2 linked regions of the Pelodiscus sinensis genome follow. The protein of the gene in region 1 interacts with the protein of each later gene in a pairwise test. Links are inferred from orthologs where the notes say so. Each region holds a gene or a part of one and is shown on either strand. Other genes may lie near its edges. The genes, in order: RALBP1 and GPS2.

The links.
Region 2: the proteins of RALBP1 (region 1) and GPS2 interact in binary tests that used the Homo sapiens proteins (3 or more experiments, as listed by UniProt). The two-hybrid records come from large-scale screens. The link is inferred for Pelodiscus sinensis from reciprocal best matches to the Homo sapiens genes RALBP1 and GPS2.

Annotation. Positions count from the first base shown.
Region 1 is NC_134712.1:85,223,956-85,240,217, reverse strand, and holds the start of RALBP1 (ralA-binding protein 1), read right to left. Parts: upstream 6,760-16,262; 5' UTR 6,603-6,759; exon of another isoform or gene 6,586-6,602; intron 1-6,585. UniProt on the Homo sapiens protein: Multifunctional protein that functions as a downstream effector of RALA and RALB. As a GTPase-activating protein/GAP can inactivate CDC42 and RAC1 by stimulating their GTPase activity.
Region 2 is NC_134734.1:9,784,407-9,800,655, reverse strand, and holds the start of GPS2 (G protein pathway suppressor 2), read left to right. Parts: upstream 1-9,737; 5' UTR 9,738-9,880; coding exon 9,881-9,974; intron 9,975-13,977; coding exon 13,978-14,117; intron 14,118-14,362; coding exon 14,363-14,475; intron 14,476-14,770; coding exon 14,771-14,850; intron 14,851-15,062; coding exon 15,063-15,145; intron 15,146-15,221; coding exon 15,222-15,390; intron 15,391-15,519; coding exon 15,520-15,606; intron 15,607-16,249. Other genes in the region: NEURL4 (neuralized-like protein 4), read left to right, coding at 5-150, 1,040-1,255, 1,370-1,468, 2,161-2,310, 2,475-2,639, 3,042-3,200, 3,448-3,627, 3,854-3,947 and 5 more. UniProt on the Homo sapiens protein: Key regulator of inflammation, lipid metabolism and mitochondrion homeostasis that acts by inhibiting the activity of the ubiquitin-conjugating enzyme UBE2N/Ubc13, thereby inhibiting 'Lys-63'-linked ubiquitination.

The sequences.
Region 1 (16,262 bases):
GGGGGACTGGACACAAGCCAGGAATCAGCTGATTCCTGGCTTGCACTCAGTCCCAGACACTGCGCCTCTGCTTTTTTAAAATGTATTAAGAGCTCATATCTGGTCCTCCCTGCTGCTCTTAGCCAGCTGGCTCTTAATACATTTAAAAGGCAGAGCAGCAGGAAGGACCAGATATGAGCTCTTAATACATTTTAAAAAAGCAGAGGCGCAGTGTCTGGGACTGAGTGCAAGGAAGGAGCTAACCCCACTGTGGCTCTGCAATTTCCCCTGATTATCGACTAAACACAATTTAACATCCCTAATACATATGTCTTGTTATCAGGTGATTGTATCTGGAATGAAGGTGAAGTGACATTATTATGTCATTCCAGTAGGTGTATTCATTTAATACCAGTGAAGACAAAGGGGACTGGAAACTCTCTCAGGGACACTTTATATCTTCAAAATCCCATGTATATATTGACTCCTCACAACACCCTTGTGAATTAGGTAACTGTCTCCATTTTACAGGGGGTGTGGAATGAACCAAGCCCCCCCCCCCCTCCCACACACACATATCCCAAACCCTTCAGATACTGAAGTTACATGACTTGCCCACAGCCCTACTCAGAATCAGTGTCTGAGCCAGTGCTGGACTCGTGCGTTTCTGATTCCCAGTCCCATGCCTCAACCACTCTCTTTTATTTGTGCAATTCTGGTGATTACCAAACTGAAACACAGTCCCACAATACTGTATGACTAGATCACAGATTAAGTGGAAAACTACAGTCTGAGAAACTATAGAGTTCATGCATGAAGTGGTAGTTTCATCATATAAAGAATGGAACTGAATTAAGAGTGTGAAATCAGTTCTTACAAACAATTGTATTAGCCAAAACATGTACAGTGATTCCTCATTTAACACTGTAGATACGTTTCAGAAAATGTTCGTGTTAAGTGAAAATGTGTTATGTGGGGTAAATTTTCCCATTGAAAATAATGGAAAAAGTGGGGGTTGCGTTTCAAGCGGTAGTGTCTGTTGGGACTGGGACATGAGGTTGGGGGAGAAAGGGGACTGGGTTACAGCAGGGAGGGGAAGTGTTTGGCTCTGGGGAAGGAAAGGGGAGGACAGGGAAGGGGGCTTGCAGCTAGTGGCTGGGTTTCCCCAGCTGGCCAGTCGCCGGCAGCTGCGCGGGGCTTCCCCTGCCTCCTTGCAAAGCAGCAGAAGTTTGCAGCTGGCCACGCTGTTCCCAGGCGACCCCTCCTCGCTGGACACAGGGAGGCAGGGAAAGCCTTGTGTTGTTCGAAAAATGTTCCCTAAAAAAAAAAAAAAAAAAAAAAAAAAAACCGTGCTATTGCAAAAACGTGTTAAGTGAGGAATTACTGAATAGTAAAACTCCAATAGTCCGGCATCCACGGTACGGTACTCCCGACAGTCCAGCATCAAAATGACAAGAGGCAAAAAACGAATCACAAGGCAGCAGCGGCAGCAGCTGAACCGAGCGAAACCAGATGGAACCGAGTCAGTCTGCCACTGGCATTGTGTGACTATGGACAGTGTTTGTGCTACAATAAAAAGGGTTAAAAACACTTTATATATGTATATCACCAATTTATAGTATCTCCTGATAGTCTGGCATATCCGATAACCCGGCACCACCTAGATCCCAAAGGTTCTGGATTATCGGAAGTCTACTGTAAATTGTTTTACAGCTGTAACGACAAATCTGACAGAATAAGATGTGCTGTGCAACTAAAATAAGAAAGTGCTAATACTGAACAAATAAAGTATCATATAATCTAAGATGCAGAACTATTAACTGTATTCTTGTTAATCTTACTATGGTAAACTACTAGTAACAAAACTGTTGCAATTTCTGTTTTTGTACATGTAGTGTTGTTGTCTGCATGTACAGAATCTGTAAGAAAATAAGATGTATGTTCTGCTGATGCTTGTGAGAAATGCACCATCTGCCACTTACTGTTCTGGTCATGTTGGTACAGACATCTCTGTTTTGCAAATTTATGGAACTACATAAGAGAAAGTAGGAAAGTGTTGTGCTAATACAGTTGAATTTTTGGACTTTCCCTCTGCCGTAAACAAGCAGGCTATAAAACAGTTTCTATAATAATTCTTTGACAAGCTGCTGCAGGATTATTTCCCAGAGATTGGTAATGTATAGTCTCTATATTGTGCTGATTTATCTTTGATTATTAAACTGATTGAACCTGGGTTATGGGCTATTTTATAAGTGAAAGAATATAGCTTATTAGTATCAACAGCACTGGTCTTGTCCACACCCAAAAGCTGTACCACTGTAACTATACCAGTATAGCGAAAGCAGATGGCACGATCTCTCAGCATGAACAGTTGTATTGGTATAAAGATGCTTAAATTAGTATAGTTTATTCCCATATGGAAAAGGAGAAAAATCTATCTTGGTAAAATGCACATTTATACTGGCCTAATTATTAATTAAAAACAAAAAACAAAAAAACAAAAAAACCCACAAAAAACAAAAAACACAGAATTACACCACTAGCAGTTATGATACAAAAATGTATGTCATATGTTTAACTATACTGTAGATGCGTCTGAAGTCTGAACTGAAATCATTTTTAACATTAATCTTTTACTTTAAAGAACACTAAAAATTTAAAAAGCACTAGTTAAAATCAGAGCACAGGATGGGTATAACAATGTACCTCATTTGTGACCTGCAAATGGCCCTGCTATTCCATTTCTAGGTTACTTTATGAACAGACCACAAATGTTACCACATTCCTAGCAACTATGGTGAGTCATCAAATTCGTTCTTCTATATGACCAACTAGGATTTGAATTCAAGATTCAGTTCAAGAGTTACATTAACCATCGAGGCTCGCAGTTAAGTCCACCCAGCTGTCCATTCCTAACTTTCATCCCTCAAATCGTATTTCATTTCCTCAACAACTTTGTAAAGCCATCTCAAGAATGTTCTGAAAATAAGCCATATAAACCCTACGACCAATAAGTCTTTGAGTTGCTACGTGAATTGAGAGCATTAAACTGCCAGATTTCAGAATTAATCATTTTAAGAACCGAGCCACTTGCTTCTTGTGAAAGAATTCTCAGTTGATATTACTTTGAAGGAGACTAGCAACAATATGAAGCACACTGTATAGAATTTATAAAAGAATTTATAAAAGTTAACACACCTAATGAACAAGAAAAGCAAAAGTCATTAGATTCAAGTAATCCACTGGATTTCTAAAATATTCTCTCTCACTTTACCATTTTTTAAATGGACCATTTCTTCTCCCACTGCATATATTTTAACCCTATCAATAAAACCTAATCAATTAAACACACTCCACAACTTCCTCAGACTAACTTTTGAACAAAATATGAAGTAGGGATGTTAGATATTGTTTATTTTAGTAATTGTGTAGCTGCAACAATTTTTAGCATTTACACAGTTACTAAAATGCTCTCCCTGGAGGCATCACTCCTGGGGAGCTCCCTGCCACACTACTTTGCTGCTTCTATATCAGATGCAACAGCACAGGATGGCAGGAGGAACCAGTCTGCGAGGGGAGCCAGTTTAAAAATTGGCTCCCCGAGCAGACCGGCTCCCACCTGCTGCCCTGGGCTACTGCTTCTGATACAGAGGCAGCAGCAGGGGGACCTGAACTCCCCGTGGACAGAGGCTGCCCAGCATCCCACTTGCCTCCCTACCCCCATGCTATTGCTTCTGATAGAGAGCTAGCACACTGGGAGAGTGGGAAAAAGGTCAGGCAGCTCCACAGAAAGCCAGCTTCCCGCATGTGCCAGCTCCCACAAACCACCTTTATATTACATGCTGCTGCCTCTTTATTAGAGGCAGCAGCAGAGGGATTGGGGAATTTGGTGGCTCCATGGAACACCAGCACCAGGGGCAGGCAGCTCTGCAGGAATTGGCACACGCAGGGAGCCCAGTTCAGACCTGGCTCGCACTGGGTGTGGGACCAAACCCCGCTGCGGTTCTGCAATATAAAACACAGTAGGAGCCAGGGACAGACTGCCCAGCTCCTACTGCCTTTTAAATTGAAGAGCTGCAGCAGGGTTTGGTCTTGCACCCAGCATGAGCTGGGCTGCCTGCTAAAACTCTTGATGCAAAGCAGGAAGTGATCATTGTGCAATAACCTAAACAAGTCCAAATACACATGAGAATATTCAGTGTAGTGTACCTACAATACCAAAATATTACTTTGATTTCTAGGGGATGACCCAGATAAAAACAAATAAAGGTAACCGCAAAAATGCGTAGTGACATTTCCTCTTTACACAAAAAGAGTACAAAAATACAACTCTAATTTTTACAAGTTCCTGCTTTGCATAAAGAGTGTTAGCAGGTGTCCAGCCTGCTTACATAAGAGTGGATAAACTTTAAAAAACAACAAACTTGTAAAAATTAGAGTTGTATTAGATTAGTGTCTATAAGCTCCAACTAATATCAGAATCACAATGTGCTAGATGCAGCATAAACATACTCTGCATATAAAAGTTGAGGAGCTTTAACTATGTTGGTATAGTTAGAGCAGTCTAACCCATCTAGCGTAGACCCAATTAATTCAATATAAAAAGTATTTTACACAAGTTTAGCTATTTTTATACATGAAAGGGAATAAATTATAATGCTAAAAGGCCTCTTTATACTATGAAAAGTGGGGACATAATTTAAGCATTTGTATAAAAAAATTATATATCCCTAACTGAAAGTTTTACAAATACAAAAATTGCATGTAGAGCAAGCCAAACTCAATAATCTTACAATCTAAACAGACAAGTAAAATGGTAGGAGAAAGGAGGTTTTATTATTCCCATTTTACAGATGGGGAACTGTGGCAGAAAAAGATTAAGTTACTTGCTCATGCAACACAGGAAGCCTGTTGCAGAACTGGAACCTGAACCCATATCCACACTATATTGTCATACTTTTGGACCCAAATATCTGAAGTACGTGTTTTTTCCAGAATACTATTTCTCTCATGCTGCCCCAAACACTGGGAAGCCAATCTCTAAACATCTGCAAAATATCCACCTTCAAATCCCTTCTCAAAACTCTGCTTTTGCTGTGATGCCTAGAGAAAACATGATAATGCTCAGTAGTGCACACACTACTGCCAAACATGCTGACCAATGCTGTCTCATTATTTACTTGTCCCCCTTCTGTCTATATCCATCTGTTGTCTCAATCTCTAAGACTCCTAAAGCAAAAACTCTGAGGCTGATTAGTACAGAAGGCAGTGTTCTTTTTGTTGTGATTGTACAGTACCTAGCACAATGAAGGGCTGATTTATAACTCTGGCTCCTAAGCACTACAAATACATCTTATTACTATACCAGAAGTCAAACATTACAAAAGTTTACAATAAAGGCTACATCCACATCTATATGATTATTAAGAACCCATAAAATTTTGGGAGAGTAGAGATTGACCTCCATTGCCCTAATAATTTCCCCTCCCGTTATTCTGAACCATACTACATGCCACCTGACTGCCATCTTCAAGCTTCTTGGCATATGCATTTTAGTGATGCTGTATGTATGTGTATATTGTCTGAAGTGGATCAAGAGCATTTAAGTGCTACATATGATTGTTTATCACTTTCTCTGTGAACAAGACCACTCTGCTCTATTACAGCAATGGAATTTGACAACCCCTCTCCCTCCTAAAAAAGAGGAAGATTAGTACAGAAGGCAGTGTTCTTTATGTTACCCATGACTTGTAAAAACGCCTCAGAATAACCACAAATCTCAGTACTTCCAGAATAAGATGTTCTTTGGCCTAATGTACTTTCCTGCTGTGTTCTGTTGCCCCTTTCATTGTATTTGCCTTTAACAGAAAACAAACACTTAGGAACAGGGACTACCATACAGAAACCATGCACAGCTGTAACAACAAATTACTGTCAACGTCTGATATTGTGTGCACGGCCTGTTAGGTACTTTCCAAGCACACCATGTACAACGTAAAGAGGTTGATCGCAGCTTTGTCTCAATTATGAGAGAATTCCAACTTCAAGGAAATAAAGGGTAAGTGGATGGGGGAAAAAAAAAAACCAACCAGCAGGCCAGTAGCACTTAAAAACCAGGACAGTCCTCCCCCTTTGGTGCCCTATGAGCAGCACAGACTCTCATGCGTGTTTCACAGCACACACCCATGTGGGTGTAGGAGGGGTGCAGGGAGTTGGCACCCGCCACTGGGAAGTACGATACTCACCCCTGGGAGAGAGTAGCAGGTGCAAAGCTAGGCGCGCTCCCCCCCCCCCCACCCCCGAGGGCACCGGGCTGGGGCGATGAGAGAGGCTGTAACACACGGCCCATGTCACTGCCCGGCTGCGCCGGGACACGGGGCTCCGCCACAGCCCCCGGGGCGGCAGCAGCCTGGAGGAGGTGGCGATGGCCCCTGGTGCAAACGCCTCTCCTGGGAGGGCGAGGAGGAGGTCCCCGAAGCGGGGGGGAGGGGTCCCTGGCGGTGCCCCCCACCCCCGAGGGCCGCACTCTAACCCCCCCAGGCCGGAAGTCACTCCTGGGAAATGGGGGCGATGACCCCGCCCAGCCGACGCGACCCCAGCACTGACCCTGGATTTCCACTTGCCTGCAGGGCGGCTCGGCTCCGCCTCGGCCTCACGCGCGCCCCGCCTCGCGCCCCATTCCGCCTCCGCCGCCCGTTTACAAGGACGGGTACGGATTCGTGAATGCCGCGAGCCTGTCAATGCGCATGCGCCTCCCCCAGCTTCCCTCTGCCCCAGGGGAGGGCAAAGAGCGGACTGCGCAGACGCGGAGCAACGGCCGCGGCAAGCAGCGGGATGGAAACGCGCATGCCTCTCGCAAGCGTGGCGAGGAGAGGGCTTTGCGCAGGCGCGTGGTCGGTGAGTACGCGTGCGCACGGCTGGAGGCAGTTATGTCTCCTCCCAGTCGGTGGGAGAAGCCCGCGCGGGGCATGCTGGGAATAGTAGTTCCAGCCCTTGAAGCAGAGTCAGGTGTGTAACATCTAGCGGCGCCCTGTAGGAATGTGCTACTTAGGCTGCACTGAGCATGCTCGGTAACGCTGCTGAAGCCACTGCCCTTCGCCATGTCCTCACTTTCTGCTGACTACTTTTTAGCGGGGGTTAGAAAGTCACAAAAAGGGGTAAGCGGAGGGGAGGTGAAGCCCCTGGAGACAGGGCTAGGATGGGGCTGGAGGCCGGTGGGGGGAGGAGCGGCTCCTCTGGGGAACAGTTATAAACCTCACACCCCTACAGGAGGAGGTTGGGTGACCTGCCTGGGTGCTCTCAGCTCAGGTCCTGCCCACAGGCTCCACCTGCCCTTCGCTCTGTTACCCCCCGGCCATCCCACCAGGCCTTCCTCTGGGCACAGTGCTCAGGCAGAGCTGGTGCCAGCTGCATCCAGAGGTGTATGGTGTAAGGGGACTGGGCGGGACCGGCTGGAATGATTTAGTTGGGATTGATTCTGCTTTGGGCAGGGGGGAGGGACTCCAAGACCTCCCAAGGGCTCTTCCTACCCTATGATTCTGTGAGTCTATGCTGGCTTCTTTTCAAAACTCAGTGAGGGTTTTGGTTGGCTAGTTTCCAGTATCAAAAGGAAGGGGATGGCTCTATGAGAAATCAGGATCCTAAGACTGACATCCCCCAGGAACAATGGGAAGAGGCCAGCACTCCAGATCAGCTTGAGAGGGGCTGAGCTAAAGAGTGCAGGGCCCAGAGCTGAAATGGGAGGAAGACTTGGAAGTGAATAACAGAAGCACAGAGGGCAGGCATGAGAAATAAGAGTACCTGTCATCCATCCTTGCATTCCCCTCCCATCTACATAGGTATAATCCCCTCTTCTCTGCCCCCATCATGTGATCCTTGTTCTAGATAAGGTTTGTCTTTCTGGATGCATCTAAGCCCCTCTCCCTACCTGCCCCCCCCCCCCATATAAACTGTGATCAGAATCCATATGAAAGATTGTGGGTGGTCGGCTAGAAGGATCAGGTTGAGAGTAGGTCCTTTTTTTCTAAGGAATGAGGAAATATCATTGGGTGGGTAATCTGGGAACATAGGAGAGTCTCCACAAAGTGATATTGTCATAGACCTTTCTCTCCTAGAGGGCCCTATCTTGCTTGCATTTAAGTGCATAGCCCCGGTGGGCCAGTCTCTATTCCTCCTTGGTTCCATGGCCCGCCGGGGACATCAGTTGGAGAATCTTCCATGGCACTGTGAGCATGGGGGTGTACTTGGCACGGTTCACCCGTTCCTGACATTTGCCCCTTCTGCGGTGATAGGGAGGCCCTGGTGAACATTTAGCTTGAGTGCGCTAGGTTACAGCCCCTCTTTTGGCTCCTCCAGAACCTCTTTTTGAGGTTTTGGCTGCACTTCCCCTCATACCTATTAATTTACACACACCCCATCCATGGCCCCATAAAGTCATGGGACCTCCTCATCAACCTCCTCCTGGCTATCACCAAGATGGCAATTTATAAAACCAGGGAGCAGAGGCTGATTGAGGGAGGGGCCTGTTACTGGGGCCTATTTCCACTCCTGCATCTGTTCACACATCTGGGCAGAAATCCACTGGGCAGCGTCTGCTGGCTCTTTCGAGACCTTCGAGGGGCAGTGGGCGCTGTCCGAGGTTCTCTGCTCGGTGTTCCTATTCAGTTCCCTTGTTTTAGCCCTTTGACTCTCACACCCATCCCTGTTTTCTTTTTCTTTGTCTCCTGGAATCACTTGATGTCCAGGGCTCTTTGGATCCTCCCAGTAGTCTGGGGGAGGGTCGGACCCCAATAGGATCTGAGTGCAGGGTGGAATGAATTGGCCCAGTAATAATTGAAATCTTGCTGTAAGTAGTTCATATGTTCTGTTGTTGTAATTTAATTATAAGTGAAAAGAGACCCACAACAGGTCTTACCAGTGGAGTTTTTAGCCTTCGTGAAGGTGAATGAGTTTGCTAGCAAAACTTGCAGCCTCCTGTACAACCAGGCATCTTGCAGTCTTTGCAGACCAATGGCAAATTTCACAAGTTTTCAAGACACAGTGTTCAAAGGCCCTTAGTGAAAAAAATCTTTAAAGCAAGCCCCAGACTGTAGCAGATATAATCCTATGAGCCAGATGTAATTAAGCCCTTTTAAGGTTAAAAGAAGAATCATTTTGGATTATTTTGAGTTTGGGATTTAGAAAATTAAAATTAGCAGACTGTTCAGAAAGTGAAATTCCTCATTTTTTTTTTAGCATTTCATGTCACAAAAACTTCTTGTCCAATTCTTCAGCTTTGCCAAAAATTCCCCTTTGACTAGAAACCAGGCCTTTAAAATTATTTCTGCATGCATACATGTCTCAAAGGCAGGAAGGTCTGAAGTTAAGATTACACTGGAAAGTTAATTAATCTTAACAGTAGAATTGATACCCCACTTCTATGTAGTACAATACATATGAAATGTTAACATACTGCAGAGCCTTAGCTAACCAAGGTTCTGTTCAAAACATTAGTAATTCCATATTCCAGTGAGTTGTACATCCTTTCTAATGTAATAGGTAGACCTTACTTGTGAGTTAGTAGAATCTGTGTTTTTGATTGATTGAACAGAGCCAGATGGTTCTTCCATTACTGGACAGGCACTTTGGAAATATCCAAAACAGTACTATGTTCTCCTCCCCCCCCCCCCCCCCCACACACACACATACCTTTGTTGGATACTATTTTTCCCTTGCAAATGGCATTATTTAGTGCAGTAATTAATTGTACAGTAAGAAATAATTACTTAATGAGACAATATTGCAGGTCTTAAAAAAGCTTATAATAAATGTTTGTGATCTGTAAATAAATGGAAATGTGATGTTTTGTTCTGTTTTCATATAGCAGAAGTAAATGTGGGTATTATGGCTGATACCCAAGAGAAAAAATCTTAGGCTTTTCAGTTTCCAGTGATAGGCATTTCATATACACAGTGCCAAGTCCCTCTTTGGTTCACTGCACATATAGATTCCTTCTGATACAAGTGCCAAAACCTCTTCTTTCTGCTGACAAGGAGAGGCGTTTGAGAGCAGCAACTGGTATCTTTTGCCTGCCCCTCTTCTGAAGTATAAAAACTTTCCTCATGCTGGGGCAAGGTAACACAGTTCTTTCTCCCTGCCTGATCTTACTTGGAGAGGAAAGTCCACCACATTCTCCGCATCTTCCTCATAGTTTAGAGAATCAATGGGTGGGGAGGTCACTGTACTTTTAATTCGCTAAAGTTCTCAGTGTTCCTCGAAAAGCAGATGGGATCTTTCAACACTATCAGCCACAACAACCATCACATTGTTAGTCTGTGCATCAACCATTTCGATAGCTCTGCAATAATTGCCATCCTAGGACTCATGCAAGTGTGTTCATCTTTGTGCAGTGGACCTCTTCCATTCTCTTAACAACATTATACAGTGCAATTCGAGGAGCTTATCTGCTAGAAAATTGCACTTTGAAATAATGTGTTGTCCGTGTTGCCCACAGAAAGAGAAATACTGTGGGTCTCACTTCCTCCTCCTGCTAGCACAGTAGTGGGCACGATGAGAACCTCTTGCAGCTGGGTGGTTCTCTGTTAAGGATGACATTGCAGAGAATTTTCACCTTTATTACGTACGGAAGCAAAATCCCAGTTAATCAGTTAATTGGTTAAACGTTAGGTCAACTTAACATTTACTCAGTTAACCAACAAAGCAGGATCTGGGTCGGGACCGCTCCAGCCTAGCTGCAGCAGCCCTCAGCCCCACGCTCACAGCCCCATGCTGGGAATAGCCACTGGTTCCAATCCCCTGCCAGAACAGCCCCTGTCCACAGTTGCCTGGGCTCGCTGTGGACAGAGGCTGTTCCAGACACTAGTGCAGCCCCTGTCTGCAGGGCACCTGGACCCGACCCAGACAGGGGCTGATCCAGATGAGACCATCCCCTGTCCGCAGCATGCCCATGTGGGACTGGAGCAGCCCCTTGCCTGCAAGAGGTGGGAAGCTGCTCCAGTCCCACCAGTTACCAGTTAGCCACAACTCATTAAGGGTGATGCTTACTGGTTAACCAGTTAAACATTCACATCCCTATTAATAACTCTGCCCAGCCAAGTGCCTATCCATGAGTCAATTCCTAACAAAGCAAAGCTGGAGAAAACAACAGTTCTTAGGCAGAAAGAGAAATTGTAATGTGACACAAACTAAACAGGCCTGCACCTAGCCACTCAGCAGCACATCTGCTCTTCTGAACAGATTTATTTTTAAATTAAAAAAAACAACCCTAGCATTTGCCATAATTCAATTAGACTAAGTCATGTTATATATGCCTAAAAAATGTTGGTAGCATGGAAAATGCAACAAATATATTTTGACTTTTGCTTTTGCCAAGGAACCCTTTTTTTGTTTGTTTGTTTTTTTTTTTGTTTGGTTTGTCTTTGTCCTTGTTAGAAGAATAGAGAAATAATTTGTCTGCTGGTTGAGTACGTGATTGGTGCCAGGAAATGCATCTTCCATCTCAATGGCTACTTTGTTTGTGTGTCCCCTAAATACATTTTGTACTCTTCCTCTTTTTAAATGAGAGTTTCTGGGTATGTTAAATACCTGCATATCTGGAATCTCTCTTCAGGATTCTAATCAACAAGGGAATTTATTTCAGTAAGTAGCACTCTTGACTCATTTTCACAGCCTTCAAGCATGATCGTAGAGCTATTGGACACATTAATACTGTGGCAGTTTGCCACCTGCTTCATTTATTCACTTGAGATTCAGTATTCCTTGATCTTTACATAATGGATTCTTTGTGCAACTTTCTGTGGTAATGTAAGGGTCCCCCCACAGGAATTTGTGTTTCTCTATTCAGTGGAAAATACAAAAGGGAGTGTTGTAAACACTCTAATTAGTGTTCATGAGCATAGAGGTATTGTCCTACAATGTATTTCCTAACCAATCAATTCCCACACATTCCTTTAGAAGAAAATCCTAATGTGAAAGACAGACTGTTGGTTTAATATTACAAGCAATTTTTTTTGTCAAACAAGGCTACAATACAGGTGGCAACAGGAGAAAACTAAGGCTTCTTCACTAGCCTTTGGAGTTGTTTTAGATGATTGCTTATATTGATCCCTATTCTTAGATGATGTTCCCCAGAACACACAACTCCCAAGAATGACAAGGGCCTGCATGAATCCCCAATGAAAGCCCATAGTCATGCCATTGGCTAACTAATGCAGAATGAATTTTTCCCCATTTCTAAGGAGATGGGGTGAAAACATATTACACTGCACTAGATTCCAGTTCACCTTTATGTGAAATTCACTATATCAATTTCTACCTGTGGCTCCCAGTTATCTCAGAAATAAACTCACACCCTACACCTCATTACATTTACTGTTGGCTGTCTCCAAGAGAGAACTCTTAAGATCTGGGGTAGGGTATCTAAAATGGCAAGTCTTCACTCTGGAATTCAATCTTGCTGCTACTGCTGAGCCTCAGAAGTACAACTGCAGGTTGGAGTCTTGGAAATGGTGTGTTTAGAGACTAAGAAAAGCACAGCTGTATAAAGTAAGAATGCTGTGTTCATTCCCTTTACTGCCAGCTTTAACACTATTTCAGGAAAGGCAGTTGTTTAGGAATCATGAAAACCCTTTAATGGAAGATTTTATATACATGCTGAACTGACAGGCTAGACCAGTTCCAGAGAAGCCAGTCCAGTCTCCAAGGAAGCAGGTTTTTTGAAAGAGTTACAGAAAATCTAGTCCCATGAAGAGTTATCGTGGTAAATTTGAAGACTGTATTCTAGCATTAAAGTATAAATCATAGATTGTAGTCCTCTTTGAACCGGAAAGCTCAATGCACCATCCAGCTACGGAGTTGTTACCAACACCACAGTAATAAAAGAGAAAGAGGCTGACAGAGGAGAAAAATGTAGTATATCTTTGCAGCATGCATCTCAATATTGCAGGGGGAATCCAAGGAGACAACCACTGGTAAACTTGAACACTAAAATTAAGAGGTAACGCAGGCTGTCTCTATACTACCGCACTTACAGTGGCAGCTGCTTTAGCGCTGTTGAAGAAGGGGCTCTAAGTTAAAAGAAGAGAACTCTTCCATCAGTTTCCTAACTCCTGCCTCTGAGAGAGGCAGTAACAACACCAATGGGACAAGCTCTGCTGCTGACATAGCGCTATCTATAGTGACACTTTGATCAGCATAAACTTAGGTTGCTCAGAGGTGTGGATTATTCACACCTGTGCATGACAAGTTAGACTGATGTAACCTGTAGTGTAGACAAGGTTTCTGTATGCAAAGCCAAATTATTTACCTTTCACACTTTAGGGAGGCTCTTCAGCAAAGTAAGGTGTCGAGGTATAAAAGGGAAAGTCCCCTTGTGGATCAGTAACTAGTTAAAAGATAGGAAACCTAGGGCAGAAATATACAGTTTTTAGAATGGTGTGAGCTAAATAGGACCAGTTCTGTTCAACGTACTCATAAATGATCTGAAAAAGGGGTAAATAGTGAGGTAGCAAAGTTTACAGGTGACAAAAAATTACTCAGGATAGTTAACGCTGAAGCAAACTGCATAGTGTTACAAGGGGATCTTCCCAGAGTTGGGTAACGGGGAGACAAAATGACAAATTAAATACAATGTTGATAAATACAAAGTAATTTCGCATTGGAAAACTATGTGTACAAAATGGTAGGATCTAAATTAACTGTTACCATACAAGGAAGAGACGGTGGAGCCACTGTGAATAGTTCTCTGAAAACATCTGCTCAATGTGCAGGAGCAGGCAAAAAAGCAAACAATGTTAGGAAGTGGATAGATAATATAACAGAAAATAGCAGAATACCAATATATAAATCTATGGTATGCAAACACCTTGAATACTTTCTGCAGTTCTCAACACCCCACTTCAAAAAAGATATACTGGAACTGGAAAAAGTACAGAAAAGGGAAATGAAAATGATTAGGGGTATGGGATAGTTTCTGTATGAAGACAGATTAAAAATAATGGGACTATTTAGCTAGGAAAATAAATGACCGAGGGGGATGCTACAGAGATCTATAAAATCATGAATGATATCAAGAAACTGAACAAGAAAGTATTATTTACTTCTTCACATAACACATAAGCCAAGGGTCATTCATGAAATTAATAGACGGGAGGTTTAAAATTAACATAAGGAAATAATTCTCCAGACAAGACAGCCACCCTTGTGGAACTTGTTGCCAGGAGATGCTGTGAAGGCCAACAGAACAACCGAGTTAAAAAAAATGAGATCTAAATTCAGGGAGTATAGATCCATCAATGGCAATTAGCCAAGATGGTCAGGGATGCAACCCAATGTTTTAGGTGTTGTCCTTAAATTGCTGACTAGATGCTGAGACTTGGTGATGGGATGGTTCACTCGATAAATTGCTCTGGTCCATTTACACTCTCTGAAGCATTTGGCACTGGCCACTGCTGGAAGATAGGATACTGGGCTAGATGGCCAGTCTTATGTTCTGTGCACCAAAAAAGATCAAAACTGCTGATCAGATGTGGTCACATTCATCTTTCAGCTTGTGGAGAAAGGGGGAAGGGAGATAAAGAAAGGAAACTGCCCTAAGAGGTTAACAGAATCAATTTATCAGTTCACATTTGGATACTAAATGGCAATTGCCTTAAAAAACAACATCCACCCACCACACAGAACAGCGATTTAACCTCCCTCCCCCAGGATTCAAGAGAACATGTCAGGGTCTGGCCCTCAGTTTTGTTAAGCTCAGTTATCAGAAGTTAAAGATCAATTTTATTATTTCCTATTAAGAATTTTATCCAAGGGATGCTGGCAGCTGGGAAGACCAGAGGGATAGATTTGCTGCATGAAATTTTGTTAAAAAAAAACCCTTATCAGACATTTTTTAAAGCAATAGAAAGCTTCTACTGTCTTCAGAAAGTCAGCAAATCTAGTTGTAAGAGCAGAGGACTGGCAAGTAGGAGAGCTAGGTTCAGTTCTTGACTGGTAATCACTCTGTGGCTATGTCTAGACTGCAAGCTTCTTTCGGAAGAAGCTTTTCCGGAAGAGATCTTCTGGAAAAGATCTTCTGGAAAAGCTTATTTCAAAAGAGAATGTCTACATAGCAAAAGTGCAAGGAAAAAGTGATCTGCTTTTTCGAAAGATAGCGTCCACATTCATTGGGTGCTATCTCGCCTTTAAATTGTGATTAGTGTAGACGGAATGGCCACCAGAGCACCTGTGTTATTTCCTGGAGGCCTCTTCTTTCGAAAGAACTCCCTCTTCTGCATCCACACATGCCTTTTTCCGCATAGAAAGAGGTTTACCGCTGTCGTAGAACCCCCCTGCGTTCTTTCAACTTTCTGTCAAAAAACCGCAATAGCAGTGTGGACATAAGTATAGTTTTTCCAGAAAAATGCTGCAGTGTAGACATACCCTGTATGACCAGTCCTGCCTGTGCCACAGGTCCACCTTGCTCTACCATTTGTAATGTGAGCATCAAACCTTTTGTAAAGAACTTTGAGCTCTTCCAATCAAAGCAGTTATCAAAGCCTTCGGCTGTGTCTAGACTGGCTAGTTTTTTCCAGAAAATCAGCCGCTTTTCCAGAAAAACTTGCCAGCTGTCTACACTGGCCGCTTGAATTTCCGCAAAAGCACTGACTTCCTACTGTAAGAAATCAGTGCTTCTTGCGGAAATACTATTCTGCTCCCATTCAGGCAAAAGTCCCTTTTGCGCAAAGCTTTTGCGCAAAAGGTCCAGTGTAGACAGCTCAGATTTGTTTGCGAAAATGGTGATCAGGGCTTTTTTGTGGAAAAGCGCGTCTAGATTGGCACGGACGCTTTTCCGCAAATAGTGCTTTTGCGGAAAAGCGTCCGTGCCAATCTAGACGCTCTGTTCCAAAATGTTTTTAGCGGAAAACTTTTCTGTTAAAAGCATTTCTGGAAAATCATGCCAGTCTAGACGCAGCCGAAGTGAAAAGTACTAGACAACTGATGGAAATCAATTCAATCTCAGGCATAAGGGGTAAAGTAAGCATGTTCACATTTGCTCATGTTTCAGTGTAGAAAAAACACAAAACTCAGCTGTGCTGCCCAGCAACAAATCCCTGTATATAAAGTGAGACCTGAATTATGAGCTATATCATAAACATAATAAAATATATGTTTCAATACGGTGAAAAAAGCCTTGTGCAAGTGAACCTGCCATAAATCCATGATGGAGACTGAAGTTTGATTAATTCCATTAAGACTTTACTGCTACCTGTAAATATTACATTTAATAGTGTAACCATGATTATGTG
Region 2 (16,249 bases), on another chromosome or scaffold:
CCAGTGCCAGGCGTGGCTCACCGCTTCCACAACAGCTGTGGGAAGAACGTGGCCTTCCAGGACGATGGTTGTCGGGCTGTGCGCCTGGCGGGCTACTGCCATGGCATCATCTTCAGCATGAAGGAGCTGAAGACTGATGAGGTCTTTGAGGTGAGTCCCTCCTGCATGGGCTGGGGGCAGGACTATCAATAAGAATGTAACACCAGCCATGCTGGGTCAGACCAAAGGTCCATCTAGCCCAGGATCCTGTCTTCCAACTCTGAACAATGCCAGGTTGTTCCAAAGACAAGGAATCAAGTGATCCAGCCCCTGTTGCCAATTTCCAGCTTCTGAGAAATAGAGGCTGGGACACCATCCCTGCCTGTCTTGGCTAATAGTAATTGATGGACATATCCTCTGGCAAGGAGTTCCACAGGTTGCCTGAGTGTTGTATGAAGAAATACTTCCGTTTGTTGGTTTTAAACCTGTTACCTATCAATTTCACTTGGTCATCCCTAATTCTTCTGTAGTGTGAAGGAGTAAATAAGTTTTCCTTATTTATGTTCTCCACACCAGTCGTGATATTCTAGACCTTAGTCACATCCTTCCCTTAGTCAACTCTTTTCCAAGCTGTAAAGTTTTACTAATCTCTCCTCCATTCGGCAGCCATTCCAGACCCTCTCATCCTGTTTGTTGCTTTTTTCTGAGGGTTTTCCAATGCTAAGATACCTTTTTTTTGAGATGAGGCCACCACATCTGTATGCAGTATTCAAGATGTGGGTGTGTGTCTTATTCATTATCCTTTTCTTTACCATTTCCAATTTTTTGTTTGCTTTTCTCACTGCTGCTGCACATTGAGTAGATGGAGCCCATTCTCTGAATGATGGCTGCCCCGCCACCAGGCCGAAGTGGCTGGTACACCCGGTACCTTCCCCCTGGGGACAGTAGGGGGCGCTCTGTAGTCCAGCCTTAATCTGGTGCAGGGGTGGCACTCATGTTCACCCTCTCCCATTACTTGGTGACCTCTGACCCATGCTTATGCCCCCTCCCCCCCACATAGGTGAAAATCGAGGAGCTGGATGAGAAGTGGTCAGGCTCCTTCTGCTTGGGGCTGACCACGCTGTTGCCCTCTGAGGTGCCCTATGCGGCCACGGGGCTGCCGGCCTCCCTGCTGGAGCTGCAGTCTAAGGCCACATGGGTGGTGACTGGCTCTGAGGTGCGGCGCAATGGCCTCCTGCAAAAGCAGAACTACGGCTGCTCTCTGGAGAGGCTTGGGGTGAGTCATGCCAGAGGCCTGGCGGAGTGGGCAGGGGGAGTTGGATGGACAAAGGATGTGGGGCTGGAGGCCCATGGGTGGACCTGTCACTAACCCAGGCACTCCTAATGGTAGGTGGGAAACCGTGTCGGGGTGAAGCACTGTGTGGACGACACCATGCACATCCTGGTTGATGGCGAGGACATGGGGCCTGCTGCTACCGGCGTGGCCAAGGTAATGCCCACAGCCCCTTGCTTGGGCCTCATCCCTGCAGCTGCGTTGGGGGGGCAGAGCCCACATGAGACAAGGATATAGGCAGAGCCTTGCCCCTTCCTGAGCCTCAAAGGTAGCTCCGTGGGAGGGTGTTTGTGACGTCATGGGTGCAGGGCAGCTTCTTCCTGTCTCAGAGAGGTTGTGATGTGGTGTCATGGGAGGATAGGGCCTGCCTCTTCCTGTCTGAGGGACGCATGCTGTGATGTCACAGGAAGCCACTGTGCCATAGGAGACAGCTCCAGGGGCATTTCCCATGGCTTCACTGGGACAGGACATCTGAGAAACCTATTGGGGGACCAGAACTAGCGCCGTGATCAAAATGAGGGATTTCTCCTAGCCCGAGTGCAGAGAAGGGCTGGCAGTGATGAAGATGGGCTGGGTTGGCCAAGAGGGGAAGGGGTTGCTCCCCACAAATACTGGGGCGGGGGTCAAGCTGTTCAAGTGGGGCGGGGGGGAATCCAACCCAAAACTGAACAGAGAGAAACTTGAGGGAGGTTGCAAGTGAGGCCCTACTAATCAGAGAGAAGGTTGGAACCCAGCCACCTGTTCCCCCCCAGAGCTAGGGAGAAAACCCAGGAGTGCTGGGTCCCAGCCCTCCTTCCCACTCTGACCCACCAGGCGCCCCCACCCTCCGTCCCGTTCTATGTCCTCAGAACGTCTACGTGGTGCTGGATTTGTATGGCCGCGTCACTGCCGTCTCCATTGTCAGCTCCACGGTGCTGGAGGAGTCAGATGGCACCAAGCCACCCTCAGTCACCTCCGAGACATGCAGTGAGGAAGAAGAGGAGGAAGAGCCCGCACCTGTGAGTGCTGGAGGATGGGAAATGTTTTCCTTTGGTGGGTGTCAGCTCCCATCTGGCCCCAGTGTGGGGGCTGCCTGGAGCGGCAGGGAAGAGAATGAGGTACATGGACTGTCTCCTCTAGGGGTGGGGGTGTTGGAGAATGACTCCTCTTCCCTCTGCTACAGTGTGAGCATGAGGCCCCCGTGCCGCTGGCTGCCATGGAGTTCCTGGAGAACCACGGCAAGAACATCCTTCTATCCAATAGCAACCTGACGGCCACCCGTGTGGCCAGTTACAACCAGGGCATCGTGGTCATCGCTCAGCCCTTGCCCCCAGGCCAGCTCTTCCAGGTAGGCTCCTTCCTCTTGGGGGAGTATGTGATATTGTGTGGTGGAAAGGCATAGTGTCTCCTACCTCATGTTTTGGGAAGATGTGATGTTGTGAGCTGGCAGGAAGCACAGTGGCCCCCCCTTCCTCATAACATCACATCCCCACAAATCAGGGTGGTGGGCAAAAGGGCCTGCTGCTTCTTGTCAGGGAAGGATATGATCTAATTTGGGGGAGGGCAGAGGACTCTTCTGCTGTTGTGGTAGGCGCCGCTGCTGTCAGGCTAGGGATAGATGTCATAGCAGTATAAATGTCTAACCCTTGTAACTGTTGTCAGGGTTGGTATCAGTCACTGCCCTGTGGGAGGTGGGTGTTAGTGGTGTCAGACATTATTTCCAAGCTTTCCCACTTGTCTTCCTTCCCAGGTTCAGATCAACTTCCTGAACCCCCAGTGGACATCGTCTCTGTCCCTGGGCGTCATCGGCACCTCACCTGAGCGCCTCAATTTCCCTGCCACAGCCTGCTCCCTCAAGCGCTCTGCCTGGCTACTGCAGCGTGACTCTGTCTTCCATAACTCACTCAAGGTGGGGCAGTTCCTAGAACTTGTGTCCTCTAAGGGGTGCCAGCTCCCATCCGGCTTCAGAGTGGGGACTGGCTGACTCAGGAGGATGGGAACAGGGTAGGGGGCTTATCCCCTCTAGGGGGCCCTGGCTCCCACCGGGCAGGGACTGGCTGGTCTGGGAGATGGGGAAGGGGCGCTGTTGGACTTCTACAGTGGGGGGGGGGGGGATTTCTGGAGCTCACCATGGACCCTGTGCCCATCACCCCCAGATCTGTGAAAACTATGGGCCCAACTTGGACACGTGCCCTGAGGGGACAGTGCTGGGGCTCCTGCTGGACTTGAGCAGCTGCTTGCACCTCTATGTCAACGGGATGGACCAGGGGGTGGCTGCCCAGGACATCCCCACACCCTGCTACATGCTTGTCGACCTCTATGGGCAGTGCGAGCAGGTGAGCCCCACTCCCAGCAGGGCGGAACCCAGAGCGTGCCCCCCTCCCGCTCTAACCACTAGCTCCCACTCCCCTCCCAGAGTTGGGGAGAGAACCCAGGCATCTTGGCTCCCAGCCCCGTGTGGTAATCCACCAGCTCTCGCTTGGCACTCTCTTTCCTGAGCCTGGATTGAACCAGGTGTGCTGGCTCCCAGCTCCCCCCAACCAATGCATTTGTGGCCCCCAGGTTACCATAGTAACAAATGATACTCCAGCTCTGGGAGGGGAGAGCACAGATCTGCATAGCCAGGGGGACATGGAGAAAGCCGACATGGTGGATGGTAAGTGATGGAACTGCTCCGCTCTTTGATGGGTTAGAGGGGGATCTGCCCGGGTGGATGGGTGGGATCCGGGGCTAGGCCCTCCCTACTTGGGCTGTCTACATTACAGAGTTTTTCCAGAAAAACAGCTGTTTAAAAAAAAAAAAAAAAAAACCTTCATTTACATCCACACTGCAATCGCATCCTTTGGAAAAAAATATCAAAAGGAGAGGGGGTTTTTCCGACATTGGTAAACCTCTTTCTACAAGAAAGAAGCCTTTTTCTGCAAGAGCTCTTTCGGGAAAAAGGCGTGTGTAGATGGGGAAGAGGGCATTCTTTCAAGAGAAGAGAAAAGAGGAAAAGCACCAGTGCCCTGATGGCCATTCGTCCATAGCAATCTCAGCTTACATGCAAAATAGTGTCCATTCAGTGTGGACACTATCGGTCAAAAAAGCAGATTGCCAAAGCGCATCGAAAAAGCAATGTGGACGCTGTCTTTCAGAAGAAGTTTTTTTGGAAGATGTCTTCCAGAAAAGCTTCTGAAAGAAGCTTGCAGTCTAGACGTAGCCTCTGTCTCTAGGACAGTGCTTCCCAACCGTTTTGAACATACAGACTCCTTTCTAATCTATTAACATTTCACAGGCCCCCCTCTCTGAGGGAGGAGAAAAAGCAAAATAAGGATCAGGCCCCCTATGGTGGGTCCAAGCCTTATTTTTAAACTTTCCACAGACCCCCTGCAGTGCCATCGCGGACTACCAAGGGTACTACTGTTCTAGTACATGTGGGAAGGGACTGGCTGGTTGGCTACCCCTCCCTTTCTGTTGCAGGCATTAAGGAAAGTGTGTGTTGGACTCCACCCGTGGACATGAACACTATGAAGACCTGTGAGTACCACGCGCTTTGTGCCCGCTTCAAGGATCTCCTGCTGCTTCCAGGTAAGTTGGGACCCTCTCCCTTGGCCCCAGGGGCCTTCTAAATCTGCTTCAGAGTGAACCACATTGGTGACTGAAATGGACTGTTGCCATCAGTAGGGTTCATTCAGCATTAACACTCGATGCCTCAGGCTTTCTTTAGACTCATGCAGCATTGCTGCCTCAGTTAAATTCCTCCCCCCATGCCTGACTCCCATCCCCTTCTTTCCCAGATGACTACTTCGCAGAAGATCCCAAATTCAGCCTCTGCTACTGTGAGTCGTGCCACAAGCTGCGGGGCGATGAGGCCTATTATAAACGGGGGGAGCCCCCCCGGGACTATGCCCTGCCTTTTGGTTGGTGTCGCTTCAACCTCAGGTATCAGCCTGGAGAGAGGGGGATCTGGTTCACTATTGTTGGGAGGGGGAGGCTGGGAAGAGGGGCTCTTGCTGGGATTGGACTGGAATGGGGAGGGGGGGACACTGGCTCTGACACCCTCCCACCTCGGCAGGGTAAACCCCCAGCTGGAGGTCGCCAGCACCTGTAAGAAGTGGCACATGGCTTATCACGGCACAAGTGTCGGTGCTGTCCGGAGGATGCTGGACCAAGGGGAACTGGGGGCAGGTAGGAGGGACCCAGCACAGAGCACATTATGCCCTGCCCAGACCAGGGGATGGAACTTATGCATCCTAGCTCCCAGCCCATGCCCCCCCCCACCTCCCGCCCACTCTGACCCACCAACTACCACTCCCTTCCCAGAGCAGGGGAGAGAACCCAAGAGTCCTGGTTCCCAGCTGCACCCTACTCCTCTTCCAGAGGGTCACATGCATGAAGCATGACCAGTCCCATTATGGGGTTCCAGGACCCAAACTCCTACTGGGGAGGGAGCAGTGCTTAAAGATGGGGCCTGCGCTTAGGGATGGGGCCTGGCTCACGGCTGTCCCCTGTCCCAGGCAGTGCGTCCATCCTGAGCTGCCGGCCTGCCAAGGTGGACCCCCAGGGTGGAGGATACCATGAGGCAGAGAACAGTTCCCCAGGCCATGGGGCTGAGCCCCAGTGCATCCTGCTTTCGCCCACCCTGCGCTACGCTGGCCTGGAGGCCTTCGCCACCAAAGTGCAGTGAGTGCCACCAGCCATCAGGGAGCAGCGGGGCTAGGGAGGAGGAAAGCAGTGAGTCCAGCCTGCCACTCTAGTGGGGTTGGCAGGGGTGGGGGGGGAATGACAGTGAGTCTTGCCAGCCACTGGGGAGCATTTGGGCTAGGGGAGAGGAAAGCAATGAGTCTCATCTGCCACTCAGGACTAGTGGGGCTAAGGGGGACAGTGAGTCCTGCCTGCCACTGGGGAGCAGTGGGCCTCGGGTGGAGCAGTGAGTCTCAGTTGCTGCAGGAGGGAGCAAGACACTTGAGAGCAGTGAGTCTTGGCCCCGGTTAAGGGAAGCTAGCAGGGGTGAGGGAGGGAGATCAGAGTCCCACCTCTAGAGGCCAGTGGGTGTAAGGGAGGAGCAGAGAGTCCCAGTTGCCACTGGCGGGGGATAGTGGGACTAGAAATAGTCTGTGAATCTTTGACCCACTGTGTCTCCTCTTCTCCCTGCAGATTCCGGGACCCCAAGTCACAGCGGCAACATGGGGCACAGGTGGCCTTCCAAGTGTGTGTGCGCCCTGGCTCCTACAAGCCAGGCCCCCCATCAGCTGGTGCCCCTGAGCCCCCGGACCCTCGTTTCAGCATGGCTGAGATAGAGTGGGTCACCAAGGAGAAAGGCGCCACCGTGCTCTATGGCCTGCTTGTGCGTGTGGAGTGACCCTCCCCACAGCCAGCCAGGGGGAAATCTACCACCACCCTCCAATGGACCGTAACCCCCCCCAGTGGCTGGAGGCATGGGGAGCAGCAGATCTGCAGCGCACATCTTTCTCCCACCCTGGACCAGCAGGGGGCACTGGATGCTGGGAGGGGCTTTCAGCAGTATGACCCCCTCCATCCCGATTCCAGAAGGAAGATTGGTTTTTTGGGGGGTTGTCTCTCTGCAGCATGCTCTCCCTGTGCTCAGCTGGGGATAATCACCAGAGGAACTTGCCTTTCTTGGGTAGGGGGGGTTATCTTCAGTGTGTATCACCCCCACACACACGTCTGCACTCTTCCACCCCCCCTATGGCCTAGCCTAAGGGGGGAGAATTTGGACAAGATACAGAGTCTGACACTGTTTTAAATCTGGGGGGAAGCCCCTCCCCCCATACACACAGCTCCCTCTGGTGCCCAGAGCTGTATTTTGCACATAGAAAAAGCTAAGAGGGGGCAGACTTGGGGGGGACTTACAGCATGGTGGGAGATTTTGGGGGGGGGAATATATTGCACCACAAAAGACTTAATTTCTTAGGGAGGACCTACCTCTGTGGGGGAGATCTCTACCCTTCCACACTTAAATAGCTTAGGGAGAGTAAGTACCCCTGGCACAGATTGCTATGATGGGGAGTCACCTTCCATGGCTGGGGGGCCCTGATCTTGCCTCCCAAGGGGGGGACTCTCATTCGGAGGGAAAGTTTCCCAATGAATATTTCAAGGAAGTGCTAGATTCAGTTATTGGGGTGTGGGAGAGTTGGAGTAGCCGGGGGGAGTTGGGGGAATTTGTTCTTTTAACTCCCTCTTTGTTCCCCCGTTTGGCAAGCCCCCTGCTTTGAGGAGGAGGGATGTTGAATTGTAGCACTTAGTGGTGGTTCTAGCCTGCCCCCTCTCTGGCTTGGGGGAGGGAGGCAGGGGACTCCCTGTTTTTTCCACACCATAGTGGAGGGGAAAGGTTGGCCAGGTTACCTTGCCTCCATCCCCCTCCCACCTTCTGCAACCACTGTCCTACACCCCTTTCCTGTGCAGTAAGCACTGCTCCTGTGGTGCCAGTAGCCCCCAAAATCAGCCCTACTGTCCCCTCACCCAACCATCCCTCCTTATTTATTACCTATTGGTGTTGTTGAAATGTGAATTTCCTCGTGGGGGAACCTTGGGGGGGCAGGTTTAGCACTCCTTCCCCACCTGTTACTTTTTTAAAAGTTTTATTTAAGCTGCTTTTCCATTGTAAGGTTGGGGGGAGGTGAAGTTGCATTATGGGGTGGAATGGAGGGTTCTTAGAGCCCCCTAATTGATAAACCACCATTCAGCCACCTCAGCTGTGTCTGTGTTTGTGTCACCAGAAAGGGGGGAGACTGTTAAACTAGGCTGGTTACACATATCTGGTACCATGACTTAAAATTGCCTTTTTCTGGTGCAGACCAGGGTTAAGTGACTATACAGATTTGTTTTGCACAAAAAAGCCCCGATTGTGAAAATGGCGATCGGGGCTTTTTTGCACAAAAGTGCGCCTAGATTGGCACGGACGCTTTTCTGCAAAAAGTGCTTTTGCAGAAAAGCATCTGTGCCAATCTAGATGCTCTTTTCCGCAAATGCTTCTAACGGAAAACTTTTCCGTTAAAAGCATTTGCGGAAAATCATTCCAGTCTAGACATAGCCCACATGTTCGAGGAAGAGTCACATTCTCTAATAACCATGGGATGAGTACTGCTCCCTCCTACAACTTCCCCCTAGATTGCTCATGATTTGGAAGGGAGCAGATCAGTGGCCGGTGTATGGGGCCTGTGCTGTGCCACACAGCTCACTGTGCCAGGTATACCCCTAACCTCCCCAACAACTTTGCTAACACAAATGTAAAGGGCTATAATTCCAGCACTCTTTCCTACAGCCCCACCACAGCTGCCCAGCACCCCACCCAGGACTTACCTCACTCTCTGATTTCCCAGTACAGGTTCTCCTCGCTACCTGATGCCTTTCCCCATAGTCCTGCCACCACACTGTCCTGTACTGCGTTCTCCCCTCCCCCCCCCATCATCACACCACCTGGACACTCCCATCCTGTCCTCTCACCAGCCCTGCTGGGTGATCTCTGAATCCTATGGTCAGAGTGGGGGGCAGGTGCTGTCTCCCAATGCTGCACCAGCCACACTGGTGAACTCAGCAGTTCCCGTACGCTAGGCACACTGCCAATGGGAGCTGCAGGGAAAGGGCTTGCAGGCACAAACAGAGCCCCCTGACCTTGATGGACCAGATAGGAGTTGGGGGTGAAGCCACTTCCAGGAAGTGGCCAGCAGGTTGCTCTGGCTCTCTGCCTGCAGACCCCATCCCCACAGTTTCCATGGGCTGTGGCAGAGCAAAGGTGTAGATATCGGGTGCCTAGGGGCTGCAGGCTGCTCCTCCAAGCAGAGCCCCATAGGCACAAGACTCAGTTTCTAGACTAGGGGTCACCAACCAGTCAATCAGGATCTATCAGAAGATCTTGGAGCCTCTGACAGGTGATCCTGACTGGTTTGGCTGGAAGGTTCTCAAGTGCCTGCATGTCAGTTGCCCTTCCCCCACTGCTCCTGCCTAAAGCCTCAGAGCTGTCCCCTGGGAGCCTTCTGCATGTAGTGTGGGGTGGGGAAGACAAGAAGCAGGGAGGTGCTGATGTTGCTCTGTCCCCTTCCCTTGTATCCCAACTTCACAGAGGAGGGTGGGGCCTCATCAAAGGGGCGGGCTGGGGGTATTTGTGTTAGAGGCAGATCCTAGACTGACAAATTCAAAAAGTGATCTGCTTAAAAAGGTTGGAGACCACTGTTCTAGATCAATAACAAAACAGCAGGGTGCTGGTCACCCGAGCACACACCCCCAGCACCCAGTTGGAGTGGGAGGCCCCCCGCTGTCCCTTTCTCCTCCCGGGCGGGGGCCAGCTATGCTGCCTCTGCCCACACAGGCGCATGCCCTGGGCTCGGCCGAAATCCCACTCCTGCCACCAGCGGGCGGGGCCAGCCTCATTCTGATGCACGGCCAAGCGGCAGAGCCTGGTCTCGCTGGGAAATGAGAGAGGGCGGGGCCATCTGACGTAAGGGCAAGGGCGAGGCCGGATCCCGTTCTCACGCGCGCACAGAGGGCGGGATAAGCTGACACGAGAGGAGCGGCCGGGTCGCCGCAGGCGCGCGCCCCGGAAGCGGAAGTGTACGGCTGGGGCCGGTGCCCGAGCGCGGAGCGAAGATGCCGGCGCTGCTGGAGCGGCCTAAGCTTTCCTCGGCCATGGCGCGCGCCCTCCACCGCCACGTCATGGTGGAGCGCGAGCGCAAGCGGCAGGGTGAGCCTCGTTCGCGTGCTCCGCGTCACGCGCCCCTGCCCTCCTCGTGTCTCACGTCACCTGTCCAATGACCCCTCTCCGTCTGGCCACACCCCTCAGCGGCTCTAGCCCCGCCTCCACCTGTTGTCCCCACCTCACCGTGGCCCTTCCCCCTGGAAACCCCCCACCCCCTGGAACACTCCACGTCCCCCCTCCCGCCGCATCCCTCCACCACACCACCCTGGGGTTCCCCCACCGACCCCAGGCCTCCCCATATTCTCCTCCCCCACTGCACCCCCTGGGTCCCTCCATATCCCCCTCCCTCCACCCCATCACACACACACTCCCTGGCTCCCCCATATTCCCCTCCCTCCACTGCACTGTCCCTTGGTCCCCCTGCCCGCACTGCTCCTTCCATCACACTGCCTCTTGGGAACCTCCCCAAGCCTCTGTCCTACTGCTCCTCAAGGACACCCCCTCGCACTCTCCTGTGCTGGAGGAGGGCACAGTGCCTTATAGGGTGTGGCCAAGAACCTCTCCTGGCTTCCTGAGTCCCCAGTGCTAGCCCCATCTCTCCGGAGGCGGATTTCAAGGGGCCCAATACCAGGGGTGGAGGGTGACCCTCAGACACCCCCTCCTTTTGTTCCCTGTTTCTTAGACATCCCCTGAAAAACAGGCCTGAGCCCCCTCTCCCCTGCTCTTCCTTTCTCCCTCCGTCCTCACATCAGGGGCACCTCACAGATCAGAGCCCTAGAGGTCAGGGTCACCAGCCACTTCCTGCTGCTCTGCTCTAGCCTCCCCTATAGCTGGGCCCCAGTCTCCCCAACAGCTAGGGTGACACCTCCACACTGCAGCCCTTGGCAGAGGAAAGGGGGGACTAAGGATGAGAGCGTGGGAGAGGGTGGCACTGCGGGACCAACCCAGCAGCACCCCAGCTGCTCTGCCCCCGGCTTCCCCAAGTCAGCCGCTGCTGAAACTGACCAGCGGCTGACTTGGGGAGGCCACGGGCAGAGCAGCTCCAATTGTCCGGCTGGCCAGAGCACTTCCAGGTTCCGGTTGGTGCCAGACTATCAGGAGTGCCGGACCACTGGATGCCGGACAATTGGAGTTTTACTGTACATTGTTAAAGGTGTGGATGAGCTTGTCATTAGTGTTCCCTGTAAGCTGGGTGCTTGGGCAGCCACTCAGGAAAGATTTGAATGCCACCCAGTTTTAGAAGAGTGCTCATAGCCTTAAGCTGATTCTGCTGAATCGGGCCCTGCACCCGAGAGGGCTCTACACCCGGAAGTCGGCTGCTCCCCCTTGCCTGCGCACGCTGCCAGCTGCTGCTGCCATGCGCGTGTGTTTGCACGTGGACGGAGTGACACCCGGGCGTGATGTGACGTCGTCACGGCCCGGGATTTTTAAAACTGAAAAGTGCAGGTGGCTCGGACTCGGAGTCTGGCCCCGCATTGTAGAAGGCAGAAGGTAAGGTGGGGGAGGGGGGAGAGGCGCAGTCAGCTCTCAGCCACCTGCAGCCCGGGGAGCGGTGACTCACCCTGAGCACATGGAGCCGGGGTGCAAAGCAGCGTTGTGGGGCGCAGTCAAAGCAGGTGGGGTCGCGCTTCCCCCACGGGGCCCCAAGCAGCTTGCAGAGGCAGGCCTGGCCCAGCCCGGCCCCTGGCTGCCGTCTCTTACCTGAGGGGCTCCAGCACCAGGCTCTGCAGGCTGAGGCCACGTGCGGAACCGGCCGCTAGCACGGCCACCACCTGTGGCAGCTTGAGCAGTGGCAGCATGCTCCAGCGTCCGGTTGGCCAGGCCAGCGCCAGCTGCGCCTCCTTCGCGCGTGCTGCCCGATCCGGCGCAGCCCATCTCTTCCGCTGGCAGCCGCGGGGCCAGCCCTAGCTTGGTTGGGTGGGGAGGTGGATTGTGCAAAAACGGGAGCGCTGAGGGGTGGGGGACACTGGCGGTGGGGAGCCTTGGTTCCCAGCCTGACGGATGTGATGGGGGGGGCAGAGGCATAGCGAAGGGGGTGCAGGGAGGGGCAGTTGCCCCAGGGCGCCACGCTAGGGGGGCGCCGGGCTGGGGTGAGAGCAAGCGCACGCTGTGCAGGCTCACCTGCCATGGGCGGCAAGTTATATGGCCGTCCCCCCAGCCCCGAGCCATCCCTGCTGTGCGCAGCATTCAGTCGGCTTCGCCTTGCCTGCGCACACTATGCAGCATTTCCAGGTGACCGGGGAGACGCCTGGGCGTGACGTGATGTCACGTCATGGCCCAGGACTTTAAAAGTGTTTGGTGCTGCGTGGTGCTGGCCTACCTTCCAGTTCGGAGTCCGGGGACTTTTGGGGTCTGAGCACAGACTCCGGCCCCCAAGTGGAAGGCAGAAGGTACGGCAGGGCAGGGGGAGAGGAAGACGTCTTGTGCGGAGGTGGAGGGGAGAGGGAAGATACAAATTCCAGGGGGCCAAGTGCAGACAATGAGGAAAAGGGCAGGAGGGGAGGTGTCAGTGTGAGGAGGGACAGGGTGATGCTGGGAGAGGAGAGGAGAGGGGAGGGGAAGGGCATTAGGGTCTGGAGGGGGGGAGGGGGAGGTGCTGGGAGAAGGCTTGAAAGGAGGGGTGGCCATGAGAAAGGTGGGGATGGAGCAAGCCATGTGTGAGGGCACAGGGGCATGAGGGGAATGGGGCAGAGAGTGGTGAGGGGGCGGGCATCAGGAAAAAAGGGGGCAGGGGCAGTGAGGGAAGAGGATTCCTGCTGATCTTATCCTAAGGCTTTCAGTTATCCAAGGGATTGTAGGTTGCAGGCATCCACTGCTGTCTCCTATTCTGTAAAGTATACCCCTTTTGTGTATGGGACCTTTCTATCTTTTTTCTGAGATAGATAGGTGGGTTCGTTGCAGTTGCTTGTTGTCGTGTAACTTAAACTTTCAAATACATGGTTTGGCCCTAAACCTTCTCTGGCCTGATTTGTGATTCTCAGACCAGCTGTGATAGATGGGTAACACCAGGTTGAATTTGGCTTCTGTTGGGGGATAGGTTTTGATTAATTGCTTAGGCTCCACAGCAATTGCTTACCTAAGTCGTCTTTTTTTGTGTTTTGGGTTTTTTTGCTCAACAAAAAAATCCTGGGGGGCCCCGCACTTCCTAAAGTTGGCCCTGCTCATAGCTAGGTTTATGTTTCCACGAGTGGTACCCATTGGTACATGGTTTGGTGCACATAGCAAAATGTATTCTTTCATTCATGTGCAGAAGTCCATGCATGGATGGAAAAGATTAATGGAAACATTACTTGTCGTGTGTGATTTTTGTGAAACACGAGCACTTAATACAGAATAGGTGCCCAAGGGCTGTGTTTATAAGCCTGAACCTCCAAAGTTAGGTGTTCCCCCTCCCCCCAGCTTGCTCTTCAGATGGGGCCTTTGATGCAAAGTTTTACTAGAGTTTTGGGGGTTCACCATATTTACTTTTTAATGTAACTGAGGCAGAAGTTTGCAGTCTATAGTCCATCAACCCCTTTGGGGGGCGGGCACAGCCCAGGTCTGTAATTTCCAAAGGGTTCCATGCTGGCATTAGAAATTTTTGAGGGGTCCACCAATGGAAAAGTGTGGCAAACCCACTGTTTGAAGGGATTAGGAGAAGCTGAGGCTTGTCTTTTAACTCAGGGTTCTTTAAAACCTGGTGAGGATTTAAGGCAAGAAAGCAAAGCTGTCCTTAACATGTTGTCCGCCCAGCAGCCCCACTGGTAGTTAGTTTCTCCAACTGGCTCTCAAAACTAATTACATTCCTCCTCATGCCCTCCAACTCCTACAGAGTCAGTGCTGCAGGGTTCCTTCCCACCCGCAACATTGGCCCCAATATGTTCACAGCCAGGTCTTCCCCACAAACACCTGGTTTGTTCTTGTGGCTGAGATGAAGGCCAGCCCTCAGTTTCACAGTCCCTCACTGATGCTGAGGTTCCAGTCCCTGGATCTCTTTTCTAGGGGACAGATGGGCTGTCCTCAGCTTGCACTATTTCCATATTTCTAGCCTATTTTTTTGGGGGGGGAGGTTGTCCTGACCCTAGCTGTGTATCTGCAGAGGAGGAGGAAGTGGATAAGATGATGGAACAGAAGATGAGGGAAGAGCAGGAACGGCGCCGCAAGAAGGAGATGGAGGAGCGCATGTCTCTAGAGGAGACCAAAGAACAAGTGAGTGTGGTGGCGTGGGTCTCCTATCCTCCAGCTCCATGGGGTGGGGGGTTATGAGCCAGGCTAGGGATTGAGGGGTCTGGGGCTCCCCCTAGATCACAGCCCACTTCCTCCAGTGCCTGGTCTCTGGGCCCTGTTCTCAGGGAGAGGCTGCCTCCTCCCAGAATCCCAGTGCTGGGTGTCTGGGCCCTGTCCCCTCATCTCACACTGACCCTCTTCTCCTCCCCTCCCTCGCCCCCCCACAGATCAGTAAGCTGGGGGAAAGGCTGCAGGCCCTACAGGAGGAGAAGCATCAGCTTTTCCTACAGCTGAAGAAGGTGCTGCATGAAGAGGAGAAGCGCCGGCGCAAGGAGCAGAGGTGAGGGGGGAGGATGTGTGGGGCAGGGTCCTGTCCTGGTTCAGGTGTGTGGGAGAGGGTATTGTTCTGGCGGAAGGCGTAGAGGGTTTCTGTCTTGCTATAGGGAGGCATCAGAGATGACTTGGTGGGAGGGTGGAAAGCTACAATTCTCTTAAGATGGGGAACTCCCTGATGAAGTGACTTTGTGAGCTGCAGAATGCAGTGTTGCGTTGCTGCTAGATTTGATGGGACTGACTGGGGAACAGTGGAAAAGGCAGGGGAGCCATGCCAGCCTCTCTTCTCTCTTGCCCTGTAGCGATTTGACGACTCTGACAGCTGCAGCCTACCAGCAGGGCATGGCCGTGCACGCCGGGGCCCACATCCTCAACATGCAGGGTACGGGCCTGGGGGACAATAGGGAGGGCATGGGGAAGGATGCGGAGAGTATGGGGGTAAAAGGCAGTTGGGAGGGGTGGGGAAGGATGGGGAAGTCTGGGGGAGGACCATTGCAGGTGGGGTTACCTGGGGTAGGCAAAGGCTGGCAGCAGCGCCTGGAGAGGGGGACCATGCCCAGGAACACCCCACCATTCACCCCAGTCTCTCTTCAGGAAGCCCCGGAGGGCACAGCCGGGCTGGAACGCTGATCTCAGCCGACAGGACAAAGCAGATCTTTGCACCCCCTGTGATCACAGTGAGTGTTAAGGTGGGTGGGTCACATCCCCTCTGGGGTCACTGCAGAGCTGCTGACCTCTCCCCCTTGTGTCCAGCAGACGCGGCACTTCACCACCCAGCCGGCCTTCGCACCCGGCACCCCGGAGCATGGGCAGTACCAGAGCGGGCAGGCTGGGCACAGCCCCTATGCTGTGGGGCAGGGCCAGCACTTTGCCCCAGGCCAAGCCGTGCCTGTCAGCTATGCCAGCAGCCAGCCCATCCGTGGTGAGTCAAAGCCTGGAGTGGGGACCAGCTTAATTGGAGTGGTTCCAGGGCACAGGGAGCTGGGGGGACGAAGGGAGGTGGTGGCACTGGGTTGGGACAGAGCTCTAACCCTCACTTTCTGCCCCACAGGCCCCTCAGCCTTCCCTGCCATGCAGTACCTGTCACAGCAGCCGCCAGGCTACGCACTGCATGGGCACTTCCCTCCTGCTCAGCCAGGTGAGACCCCCTCATAACTCCTCCCTGTCTGACTCTCCCCCCCACCCCACCTGGCTAGATGAGACCCTCTTATGCCCTACCTGATTACCTAGGACAGACCCCCTGATGCCTTCTCCCATCCCAGCTGGGCAAACCCTCATAGAACATTAGAACTGGAAGGGACCTCAACAGTTCAAGTCCAGTCCCCTGCCCTCATGGCAGAACCAAGCACCATCTAGATCAGGGTTACTCAACATGCGGCCCACAGCCTGTGGTACGGTTTGGATTTACGCGGGGCTCAACACACAGCCCATGGGTGGTAGCCAAAAAAAAAGTAGTCAATATCTTCTGTTGATATGTATTTTAGCAGTTAAATTCCTGGACTGTCATTGCTCATTAAAAGTGCTGTCATATGGGTGGAAATTGGGTAAATACTGTATTTTATTAATATCAGCAAAACTGACTTAAGAGGCCGGTATATTGTGTAGTCTTGCCTTAACCTTTGTATTCATGCCCGTCAATGTGAAAGAAGCTATTTGCATGTATATGCAACCACACTTAAGTTGCAACCCTCAGCATGTGCTGAGAGTATTGTGGCTCCTGGGCTTCCAAAATTGAGTAGCCATGATCGAGATTAGCCCTGATAGATGTCTGTTCAACCTGC